3 linked regions of the Rattus norvegicus genome follow. The protein of the gene in region 2 interacts with the protein of the main gene of each other region in a biochemical or structural test. Links are inferred from orthologs where the notes say so. Each region holds a gene or a part of one and is shown on either strand. Other genes may lie near its edges. The genes, in order: Asf1a, Tlk1 and Mbp.

What was found.
Region 1: of the proteins of Tlk1 (region 2) and Asf1a, one has a biochemical effect on the other in vitro, tested with the Homo sapiens proteins (3 studies listed by BioGRID). The link is inferred for Rattus norvegicus from reciprocal best matches to the Homo sapiens genes TLK1 and ASF1A.
Region 3: the proteins of Tlk1 (region 2) and Mbp form a complex in vitro, tested with the Homo sapiens proteins (2 studies listed by BioGRID, with this or other methods). The link is inferred for Rattus norvegicus from reciprocal best matches to the Homo sapiens genes TLK1 and MBP.

The regions. Positions count from the first base shown.
Region 1 is NC_086038.1:33,449,222-33,452,050, reverse strand, and holds the end of Asf1a (histone chaperone ASF1A), read right to left. Parts: intron 2,798-2,829; coding exon 2,585-2,797; 3' UTR 573-2,584; downstream 1-572. UniProt on the Homo sapiens protein: Histone chaperone that facilitates histone deposition and histone exchange and removal during nucleosome assembly and disassembly.
Region 2 is NC_086021.1:75,933,955-75,937,609, forward strand, and holds part of Tlk1 (serine/threonine-protein kinase tousled-like 1), read right to left. Parts: intron 3,595-3,655; coding exon 3,425-3,594; intron 2,996-3,424; coding exon 2,860-2,995; intron 454-2,859; coding exon 342-453; intron 1-341. UniProt on the Homo sapiens protein: Rapidly and transiently inhibited by phosphorylation following the generation of DNA double-stranded breaks during S-phase. This is cell cycle checkpoint and ATM-pathway dependent and appears to regulate processes involved in chromatin assembly.
Region 3 is NC_086036.1:78,209,487-78,213,241, reverse strand, and holds the start of Mbp (myelin basic protein), read right to left. Parts: upstream 2,921-3,755; coding exon 2,744-2,920; coding exon of another isoform or gene 2,726-2,743; exon of another isoform or gene 2,084-2,725; intron 1-2,083. UniProt on the Homo sapiens protein: The classic group of MBP isoforms (isoform 4-isoform 14) are with PLP the most abundant protein components of the myelin membrane in the CNS. They have a role in both its formation and stabilization.

The sequences.
Region 1 (2,829 bases), on a different chromosome or scaffold from region 2:
AGTGATAATATAAATAGAAAGTGAATTAGCACTCTCCTCCCTCATTTCATATGTCAAGATCATAATCCAAAGGTGAGAAAAAAGGTTGGTAAAGGTTTTGTAATTGTAGGAACTTAATTGCTACTTTTTACCCACTCAAAGATGTCAGTGGGCTTTGGCACTCCTGTAATCCATCAAGAGTCAGGCTGCACACAGTAGGGGCAGCGAAGGGCTACTTTCTTGAAAAACCTAATATAAATGTATACTTGCATTGCATGGTCATATGGCATTTTATACTATGGACTGCGATAGGAAACATGTCATAGTCTTAAAATTTTGCATTACCCTTAATTTACTTAGTTTGTGTGAGCATATATGGAAGTTAGGTGACAACCTGTGGGAGAATGTTTCTATCATGTGAATCCTGGGTACTGAACTGAAGTAGCCAGGCTTGGCAGCAAGCACCTTACCGACTGGGCCACGTTGACAGCCCCCATGGACTGAACAGAAATGAAGGGTCAGAAAGGGTTGTGAATGAGCAAATGCATGTGTGCCTCCTCAGACTTCTGAAATGTTTCAACTCCATACCATCATAACCTACTCCCCTAGCTCTTCAGCGGTGTGGACTGTGTGTGTGCATATGTGTGTGTTGTATGTGTACGTATTCACCAGACATTTATTTATACTGATAGAAACAAGGAAGTGGTGCAGGGTGTGGAGTCGAATGCCTTTAATCCCAGCTCTCAGGAGGCAGAAGCAGGTGGATGTCTGTGAGCTGAAGGCTACACTGGTCTAAGGAAAGTTCAGGACAGCCAGGGCTATGTTGAGAGACCATATCTCAAAAGAAGTGGGGTGGAGCGGAGTCTATAAGCCTTTTAACTGTAATTCAGACATAATGTCTTTTTAAATGAGGCTAATCAGGAGGAAAATCCCTGCATGCTAGTTTCTTAGTTCTTAATGTGTAAATGTTTCTATTCTTCTTTCACTTTTAAATTTAAATGCTATTGCATTTAAATAATAAAAGGCAGTATTTTATTTCTCCGACTTTTGTGACTATGGGCCATATATTTAAAGTTTGGTATAAAGACCTAAGCATGTCATCACAAAGTGGTTCTATAATCTAAGACTGCACTGAGTTGCTTTACTTGGTGATTTAATTATCTTTATTTCTGACAAACTTATTCTTACTGTACTGATCACTGAACTGTCTTAAACATTTTCTCCTAATTGTAGTTAGACAAAATGAGATTTTTTTTTCAAATCATTTTAGTAGCCAGAAATATTTATTTTTAAAATCTATGAACTGGGTAATATGGAGTCTTAAATTTCAAAGTTTAACATTTAACAAGACTTTGTTTCACAAATTTATCTTTTAAAAAAAGCAAGAAATATATTACAACTTATAGAGTCTGTATTTAAATAAATACCCCTTCCTTTTCCTCAAAATGCTTTTGAAAGTGCAGTATAAAAGCTTAGATGTGAAGGCACTGCATAACTTGAACCTATGGCTATCCTGGGCATCATCACTGATAACAACTGAGAATATTGTACTGTCAATTTAATGGATCAAAACTTTGAGGATTTACTTCTCATTAAAGAAAATAAGCTTTTGGCCCATTTATTTGGTGAATTCCTTTCTAAAACTATTCTTCTGAGAAAAAAAAAAGTGGTTAAGCTGTTATGTTAACTACAGATAATGCCCTGATCTTACACATTATGAGAACCAAAGGATATGGGGTAGTGTGGCTGCAAAAGGTAAGACATACTCTCTAGAGTCGCTAGCCAGGATGAAGCTGACTAGACCTTCCTAAATCACCCTTCAATAGTAATGGTGCCAGCAACGCACGTTCAGCATTCCTGTAAGCAGAAAGAGTGAGCAGATCTGAGCCATCATAATGGAGTCTTACACTTCAGAGACCTTATGTTTGCTCTTATGTGTTGGACTCTCTAGACAGTGATGGCTTAGGATCATAGTTTCTCAGTTTTAGATGTAGGAAAGCATACACGATAGTCAGAAGGACTTCAAAGGCAGCCGCATTTGTTATATAAAAACTAGAAGTCCAGTTTAATGTGAACTGTAGTAAGATGCACTGGGATGGCCTAGAAAAACCCTGGTGGCATGTGATTGATTTCAAATCCCATTTTAAATCTATCTTTTTTACTACAGAATGGAAATTTTCTTGTCAAATTATAAGGATACTATCTTCACAGGAAAAATCATTTTAGTTGAAGTAAACTTTGTCCTTTTAAAAGCTGATAAATCTTATTGTCCAAGAGGCTAAAACACCTTTACAACCCAGTCTAAGAATTGATAACTTTTCTTTTTATAAGTGCTTTAATTACATATAAAAGAGAAGAAAATAATATATATGCTTTAATCAGATTAGTTTCATGAACAAATAAAATAACACATTAGAGAAAAAAAGTCCTTAAAAATAGTTGTATTTATATTCCACAATTTGCTCAAATACTGGTTTTCTTATAAACTTTCTACAGGATGTTTTTAAACAAATTCTTCACATTTCACGTTGACTATGTACTTACGGAACTTCAGGGAGATAGTTCTGTTTTAATAGCTTAATCTGTACTAATGGCATGGCACGTGTCACATGCAGTCCATGTGGGATTCTAACATGACACTGAGTGAGTTTTCTGACGTCGCCCATCCCTTTGATGCTGAAGGCAGTGCATCTGTGGAAAGAAGGGACTGCAGATTGGGGTCACTGCTCTCTGCGTCTTCCAGTTTCTCTGTGTTATCTTCCCAGTTAATGTGGAACCTTGTGACTCTGGGATTAGAAGCCAAAATATTCCTTTGAAGCTAGAAAGAGAAACATTTAAATGGTGAGTACT
Region 2 (3,655 bases):
AAAAGTAAGTTTGATGGCAATTCTCTGGGGAGTTTGGGAGGAAATGTTGCCGAGGCCAGATGTCTGCAGGGGAGGGGAGGAGCTGAGAGAAGTAAGGAGTGACAGACACTGCAAAGTGCTGCACTCTACAGCTGCTAACAGACAATGTTTGGGAAAGAGAGGGTAAGGAGAGAGCGCCACATCAACTGCTGAATAACGCTGACCCAAGGAAATAATCAAGAAACGTGCCTTTCCTTGGAAGGATCTAAACTGATTCTAAGTTAATAAAAAATTACACATTTTTTAAAATAACAAACAGATTAACTTATCTCTATACAATTGAAGTTGGTTTTACAACTTACTTTTCTACCATAGAGGCACTGGAAGAAGATGACCCCAACTGACCACACGTCAACCTTGTTGGAGATCTTCGGTGGCTCTTTTCCAACTACAAAGCACTCGGGAGGTAAATACCTGTGAGTAATAGGAGGGAAAAGAAAGGACACGATGCTTAGTTTAAAACCTTCTAACCTTAAAATGCTTTGTTTTTTTTAAAGATTAATTTATTATATATAAGTACACTGTCGCTGTCTTCAGACACACCAGAAGAGGGCATCAGATTCCATTACAGATGGTCGTGAGCCACCATGTGGTTGCTGGGGTTTGAACTCAGGACCTCTGGAAGAGCAGTCAGTGCTCTTAACCCCTGAGCCATCTCTCCAGCCCCCTAGAGTGCTTATTTTATTTACTCACACATAAACTGTTTTCCATGAATCAAAGTTTTAATTCATTTAAACCAAAATTCGACTTTGTAAAAAATATATTTATCCTAAAGAAAACATGATCATTGGAGATTGTGATAGTATAATCTAAGCTTCTAATAATGGAAGAAAGACTCTCCCACCCACCTCGCCCACTGTCTAAATTGCAGATAGTTCTCTTTTTTTTTTTTAAAAAGATTTATTCATTTATTATATATAAGTACACTGTAGCTGTCTTCAGACACACCAGAAGAGGGCATCAGATCTCTTTACAGATGGCTGTGAGCCACCATGTGGTTGCTGGGAATTGAACTCAGGACCTCTGGAAGAGCAGTCGGGTGCTCTTAACCGCTGAGCCATCTCTCCAGCCCCGCAGATAGTTCTCTTAAAATACACACCAGACCACTGAGTCTCTCCTTTAAGTTACCCAAAGCCCTTACTTATTCCAGTGAGACAGGATCTCATATCTCTCCCTGTAATATAACCTATCCTAATTCGCAATATAAATGCCAAATCTACAATCACCTTTATCCCCGCTCTTACCCTAAACTGGTTAGTCAGGTCACTCACCCTCTTCTGGGCATGAGCTTTCTCTTTGCCTGCCACGCAGAACATGGCTTCCTTCCCCATGCCAGGGGAAGGAGGTGTGGTGCACCTACAGAAGCAGCAGCACTCCTTGCACTATACTTCAAGAAGTGCAAGGAGCTTTGGTTTACTGTGCAGCTGCAAACACTACCAGTCAGTGTGTGAAATATACCAAGCATTCAAACATTAACTTTTAAAATCCAAAACTGCTATTCATAAATTCCTATTTGACATACAAAGGTAAAAATATACTAACTTTCCGGAGGTTACAAGGCTGACAGACTGTGCTCTGCACTGTGAATGCAGTCACTATTTAGGCAGCACCACAGGTTGAGGACACGACTTTCATGTGGCTTACAAATAATCCACAAATATGACTAACTCCTCTCCAGCAAAGTCAGCACACGTCAGGAGAGTGGTCAGCACACGTCAGGAGACACGGGCTCAAGCACACTCCGTGTGGGCTGCCCCGGGCCCTCAACACTCGGTGGACTTGCAATCCTGTTCAAAGAAGTTGTGTGCAGCTCTCTTCCCTGCCAAATCTCCCTTCTTGCTAATCTCACTTATTTTGAGAACTAGGTTAGTTTTGAAAATGTTAGTCTATGTTCTCTACTCTAGCAAACTTGAGTAAGTTTGCAAATTCACACCGTCATGGGCTTTGTAAATGAGCAGGGTCCTGGTGAGTTCCATGACTTGACAAAAGCTCTTGAGTCACACAGAGTTTGGGATCCTGCCCTGACTTCTTTCCATGTGGAACAGTGCTGTGGAAGTGTCGGTCCACTAAACCCTTTCCTCCTGTTTGTTGGCTGTAGTGTTTCGTCACACCAACAGTAACCCTGAGACACCTAGGTATGTTCAGGATGACTTTTACATGTAAGAATCAGTTCTATCTAGATTTATAGCTACATAAAGAAATTTGAGTCAGGTCTAACGACTATGAATATGCTGAATTATCTACAATTAACAAACTCGATACCATTCATATATACACACACATACACATATACATACATACACACATCACAAATCTTTACAGAGAAGGCCTGAGGTTCATGGGTGTTCTTATTTGAAACAGTCAGGACATTACATCAGCAAAAGTACGTATTCAGATCATAAACATCACTCAACACCCTAAGAAAACTCACGATCTCTGATTCACACTAGAAGTTCCTGGCTGCTACATATTAAAGTCATACGCAGATGCCAAGACACCCTTTTTGCAATTTTCGATCTTTGTAGCTAAGAATGTAAGAAGAGAATACTAGCCACGAGACTCTCCCTCTCACTTCCAAGTCTTAGTATCAGCCTTCAATACAGCAATCTCAAAGAATATTTGAAAATGAAACTGAACATTCTTTTTTTTTTTTTTTCTTTTTTTTTCCCCCCCTGGAGCTGGGGACCGAACCCAGGGCCTTGCGCTTCCTAGGTAAGCGCTCTACCACTGAGCTAAATCCCCAGCCCCGACACTGAACATTCTTAAACCACTGGGGACTACTCTAAGCAGTCTCCCTATGTTTACTAATAATACATTTACCAGTAAGTGCCTGCCCCCTGGGAAGTCAGATCCATCCCATCAACACCATAACTGTCATCGTCCATAATCTTAGACAGACCAAAATCAGTGATTTTGATTTCTCCACACGCCGTTCCATCTACTAGAAGGATATTTCCTAAAAAACAAAGTACAACATTTTTAGTAATGTGCATGTGCGCATTCACACACACACCATATTTATGAATGAAAGGATGATTTTTACAACTAAGAGAAATGTTTGGTAAATAAATGTGTATTTGGGGACTGATTATGGTGATAGATGCCTTTAGTTCCAACATTCAGGAGGCAGAGGAAGGTGGCTCTCCCTGAGTTCCTCTGCCTAGGCTACACAATGAAACCCTGTTATAAAATACAAGCAGAAATGCAAACATAACCCCCACCTCCCACTACCCCACCCCATACCAACCCTGTAAGATACACTTCCTGAAATACCTGGCTTAAGGGGTTGGGGATTTAGCTCAGTGGTAGAGCGCTTGCCTAGGAAGCGCAAGGCCCTGGGTTCGGTCCCCAGCTCCAGAAAAAAAAGAACCAAAAAAAGAAATACCTGGCTTAAGGTCATAATGTATAATAGGAGGTTTGATTTCATTAAGATATCGTAAGGCATTCACAATCTGCATCACAATGGACCGTGCTTCTTTCTCAGACATCAACTTGTGTTGTTTCAGGTAGAAGTCCAAGTCATTGCCTTCACAGTACTCTAGCACTGTACAAAACCTACACCGGGAAGGGAGTAGTCAATAGAAAAGGTACACTGGGAAAGGAAAAATCATTCTCC
Region 3 (3,755 bases), on a different chromosome or scaffold from region 2:
CTGGTGCAAGGTGACGGGGTCAGAGCAGGTGTCTTTGTTCTTTTCCTCAAAGCCACCTCCTCACAGCCTCGGAAGGCCTGAACCCTGTTCCTGAGAGGCCAGAGCACAGCCTCCCCACAGCACAGCCCCCCTTTCCTCCCAGGACAAAGGAGAATGCTCTCTGTTAATGGACTTTTCACCACGGGTCTCAGAAGAATATGCCTTCTCAGGGCATTCTTCATGTGCTGCCTTTGAATGTCAGCCTGGAAAACGCACAAAGGCTGGGTGTTGTCCCTGCATTCTGGGAGCTGGGGGTGGTGACTCTGCATGGCACGGAGGTACCACGTGCCCCGGGGAGGGAGGATGCAGGAGACAACATGACCTTACATTGCAGGGTAAGGGAGGGGGTTCAGAGTCTCCCAGGTTCTATTTGGGGACCCTTTTCCACACAGGTGACACAGCTGCATCTCTAAGTGGCAGGTGCTGGCACTTGTACTGCTACCCAAGCACCCTGCATGCATGTTAGATGCCTATCTTAGAATAACATCAAGGGTGCAGGCTTTCATCACAAGTGACGCTAGCCTTTGGACTCTATTCTTTGCAACATTCTTAAGGACCTCTGTAGTATAGGAAAGCAAGCCCTGCCCCCCCCCCTCTACAAACATCAAACTACAAATAGAACAGATGCTCCTGACATCCCAGGGCAGTAACTGCCCCTGGCAGCTTCTCTGGGGATTGTGATTTATAGCCAGGTGTAGAGTGAGTTAAGCCTCCTTCACCAATGCTAAACAACCAAGGACCCACAATCAAAGAGGCTTGGACACCAAGGCTTGACCCTTGCTGTGTCCTGGGCAGGGAGCTTCCCAGAGGAAAGCACCTTTGGTTATGCTTGGAACAAGCTGCGGGAGGCACAGGGGAGCATCAACACAAACTCTGTACGGAAATGCCATAACCCTATTTCATATGCTAATTAAAACGCTAATAATAACGAGACCATAAGGACCACACATGCAAACACCGAGGGACTTTTTTTTTTTTTTTTGCTATGAAGGCTATTCATTTAAATAATCCTTCATATTCAAAAAGCACAGTCATGGTACAAAAAATTGACACTTGAAGTTTCAAAAAAATCTCAATTTAAAAAATTATATGTATTTATATATGGCGAATATTTGGACTGCTTCTGAGTTTTGAATTTCTTCTTTTTCTTGGAAAAGCAGCGGATGGAGAGGCACATCTGTACCCTCTGGGAGAGCCATGGAGCAACACATAAACCCGTTACAGTGTTTCAACTTGAACCATGACCTCAAGACTGGTTCTAGAATCTGTGCCCTGTAGCTATTTCGTCTTTCCTACCCAGTTTTAAGTCCTGTTCCTCCAGCTACATGGACTGGGTGAGGCTGTGTGCATGTGTGGTTACACAGATAGACCTGAGGGGGGCAGTCAGGAGCCTCTAGCCCTCAAGCGCCCTAAGACAGCTTGAAAAGCCACTGTCATGTAAATTAGCATTGGAAACAAGATTGCTGTCTCAGGCTGAAGGCAACACCTTTAAGTACAGACTGTGAAGGGACCTGGTGCAGCTTGAATTCTGTTAACAAGTTAGACACACCGAGTGTTAGTGACAGTCAAGTTGCGGTGACATCCAGGTGAGGGCCAGACTGCTGCTGAGACACCAAGGGGCTCTGATGGCCACAGGGCAGAAGAGCTGTCATTGAATCCAGCAGTTCACAACCATCTCCACTCTCAAAGGTGAGGCTGGAGACGACAGCATTTCAGAAACTGCACTGGCAATGGCTTTAGAGCCGTGGAGAGGCCTCTGCCCCACACTTCAGTCAAAAGCCTCTTGAGTTCTCCAGGGCTTTGAACACAGACACAACTTAAGAGACAGAAAAATCCCCAGGCTGTGAGGCTACTCACAAACCAGGGCTTTGTTCCACATCTCTCCCAAGAGTTGCTCGGCCATCCAACAGAGTCATAGAAGATGCCATGCACTTTCAAGGTGGCAGCCACCTGACACTAGTTACTGGTGTCACAAACCTGAACCCACAGGCTAATGCATAGTCCACCCCAGATGTTGCCCTTGGAAACTGGACCACCTGCACCGTTTTATCTTCTGATACATTTTAATTCACAGGATATTTGCTTTCGAAACATCATGAAACCCAAGTTATATTTAAATTAATGGAATCACACACAAACAAATTGTCTTGAACATACATTCAAACACCCCCCCGCCCCCCAACCAAACGACTTAAGACAAAGGGGAAAGTTTGTTGGAGGTGCAGGGGTTTGCTCGGCAGACCTCCTTGCCTCAACCGGACCATTGTTTCACAGCGGCAAGAAATTAGCAGCCTGAACCCAGCAGAGAATGAACACAAATCAGGATCGAAACGGGAAGCACTGTGCAGAGGCGGAATAGGCTGAAGCCCCAGGCATAGGGCATATACACTTAAGAACCAGTAGTCTCAATGACTCATCCAGGGAGCCTCAAAATTTAGGATGCAGAAGGCCCTTGCATTTCAGAGTGACACCCAATCGCAGTCCCTTGTGAGAAGGACAAAGGTAGCAATACGGGTTGACATAGGCTAAGTGGCGACCACGCCCACTCCTCGCCCACTCCCCCAGGCCATCACCACTGTCCAATCAGGGCCAGTATCTCAGACACAGGGACATGCCAGCCATGGTGACTGGCCCAGTTCACCTGCCCACCTCTCCTTCCTTTCTGCCAGTTAAACCCATAGTTCCTCTACGCCTCGGAGCTCACCTTGCCAGAGCCCCGCTTGGGCGCACCCCTGTCACCGCTAAAGAAGCGCCCGATGGAGTCAAGGATGCCCGTGTCTCTGTGCCTTGGGAGGAAGCCATGCCGGGCATGGTCCATGGTACTTGCTGTGGCCAAGTACTTGGATCCGTGTCGCTGTGAGGGTCTCTTCTGTGATGCCATCACATCCAGGCCTTCGGAAGCTGCTGTGGGATCTTCTTGGATGGTCTGAAGCTCGTCGGACTCTGAGGGCCTGTCTTTGAAGGTGTTGTCCTCCCTTCCCGGGGCATCTCGGGAAAAGAGGCGGATCAAGTGGGGGCGGTTCCCTGGGTCAGCTGGGTGGGCACCCTGCCAGTTATTCTTTGGGTCTGCTGTGTGCTTGGAGTCTGTCACCGCTGTGTCCTCGGCCGAGGTCCCATTGTTCTGGATCGCATCTGCCTCCCCTGCAACAACAATGAGATATGAATGTGGGCCTGTGCGAGGCCTCGAGAGGGACAAAGCCGCTTTCTTCCTGGGGTCTTGAACTAGCTGTCTCCTATAAAACGCACAGATATGCGCAGGGCCCAAGGAGCCTCGTAGCACTTTGAATAGCCTCAACCAAAGGGAGCTAACCCGTATTGAGCTTGCTTGGTATACGTGGCTCAGGGGCTGTCTTCAGATCCTTATCAAAAGAACCACTCCAGAGAGCGATGACCTGAGAGCCCGCAGCAATGAAGCAAAAACATTTCCTGAGTTGCTCACTGTACCAGAGAGCCCCGCAGGTTAGGTATCTTGTGGGCTGCTCACTGTCTAAAAGACCACTGGTGCACAAGCCCCAGATGTGAAGCCGTTGTTTGACAAAAGGTGCTTTTAGTGTTCTCAGTGGAGAACAGAACTTCCCACATCTTTCTGCAACTTACAGTCCAGGGAAGCAGGGCACTGAGCATTCCTCTCTCCCGGATTCCGCTGGAGGCTCTGGCTCCGGGAACTGCTTATTCAGGGCATTTGGATCTGGCTCCCTTGCAAGTCATGGTAACCA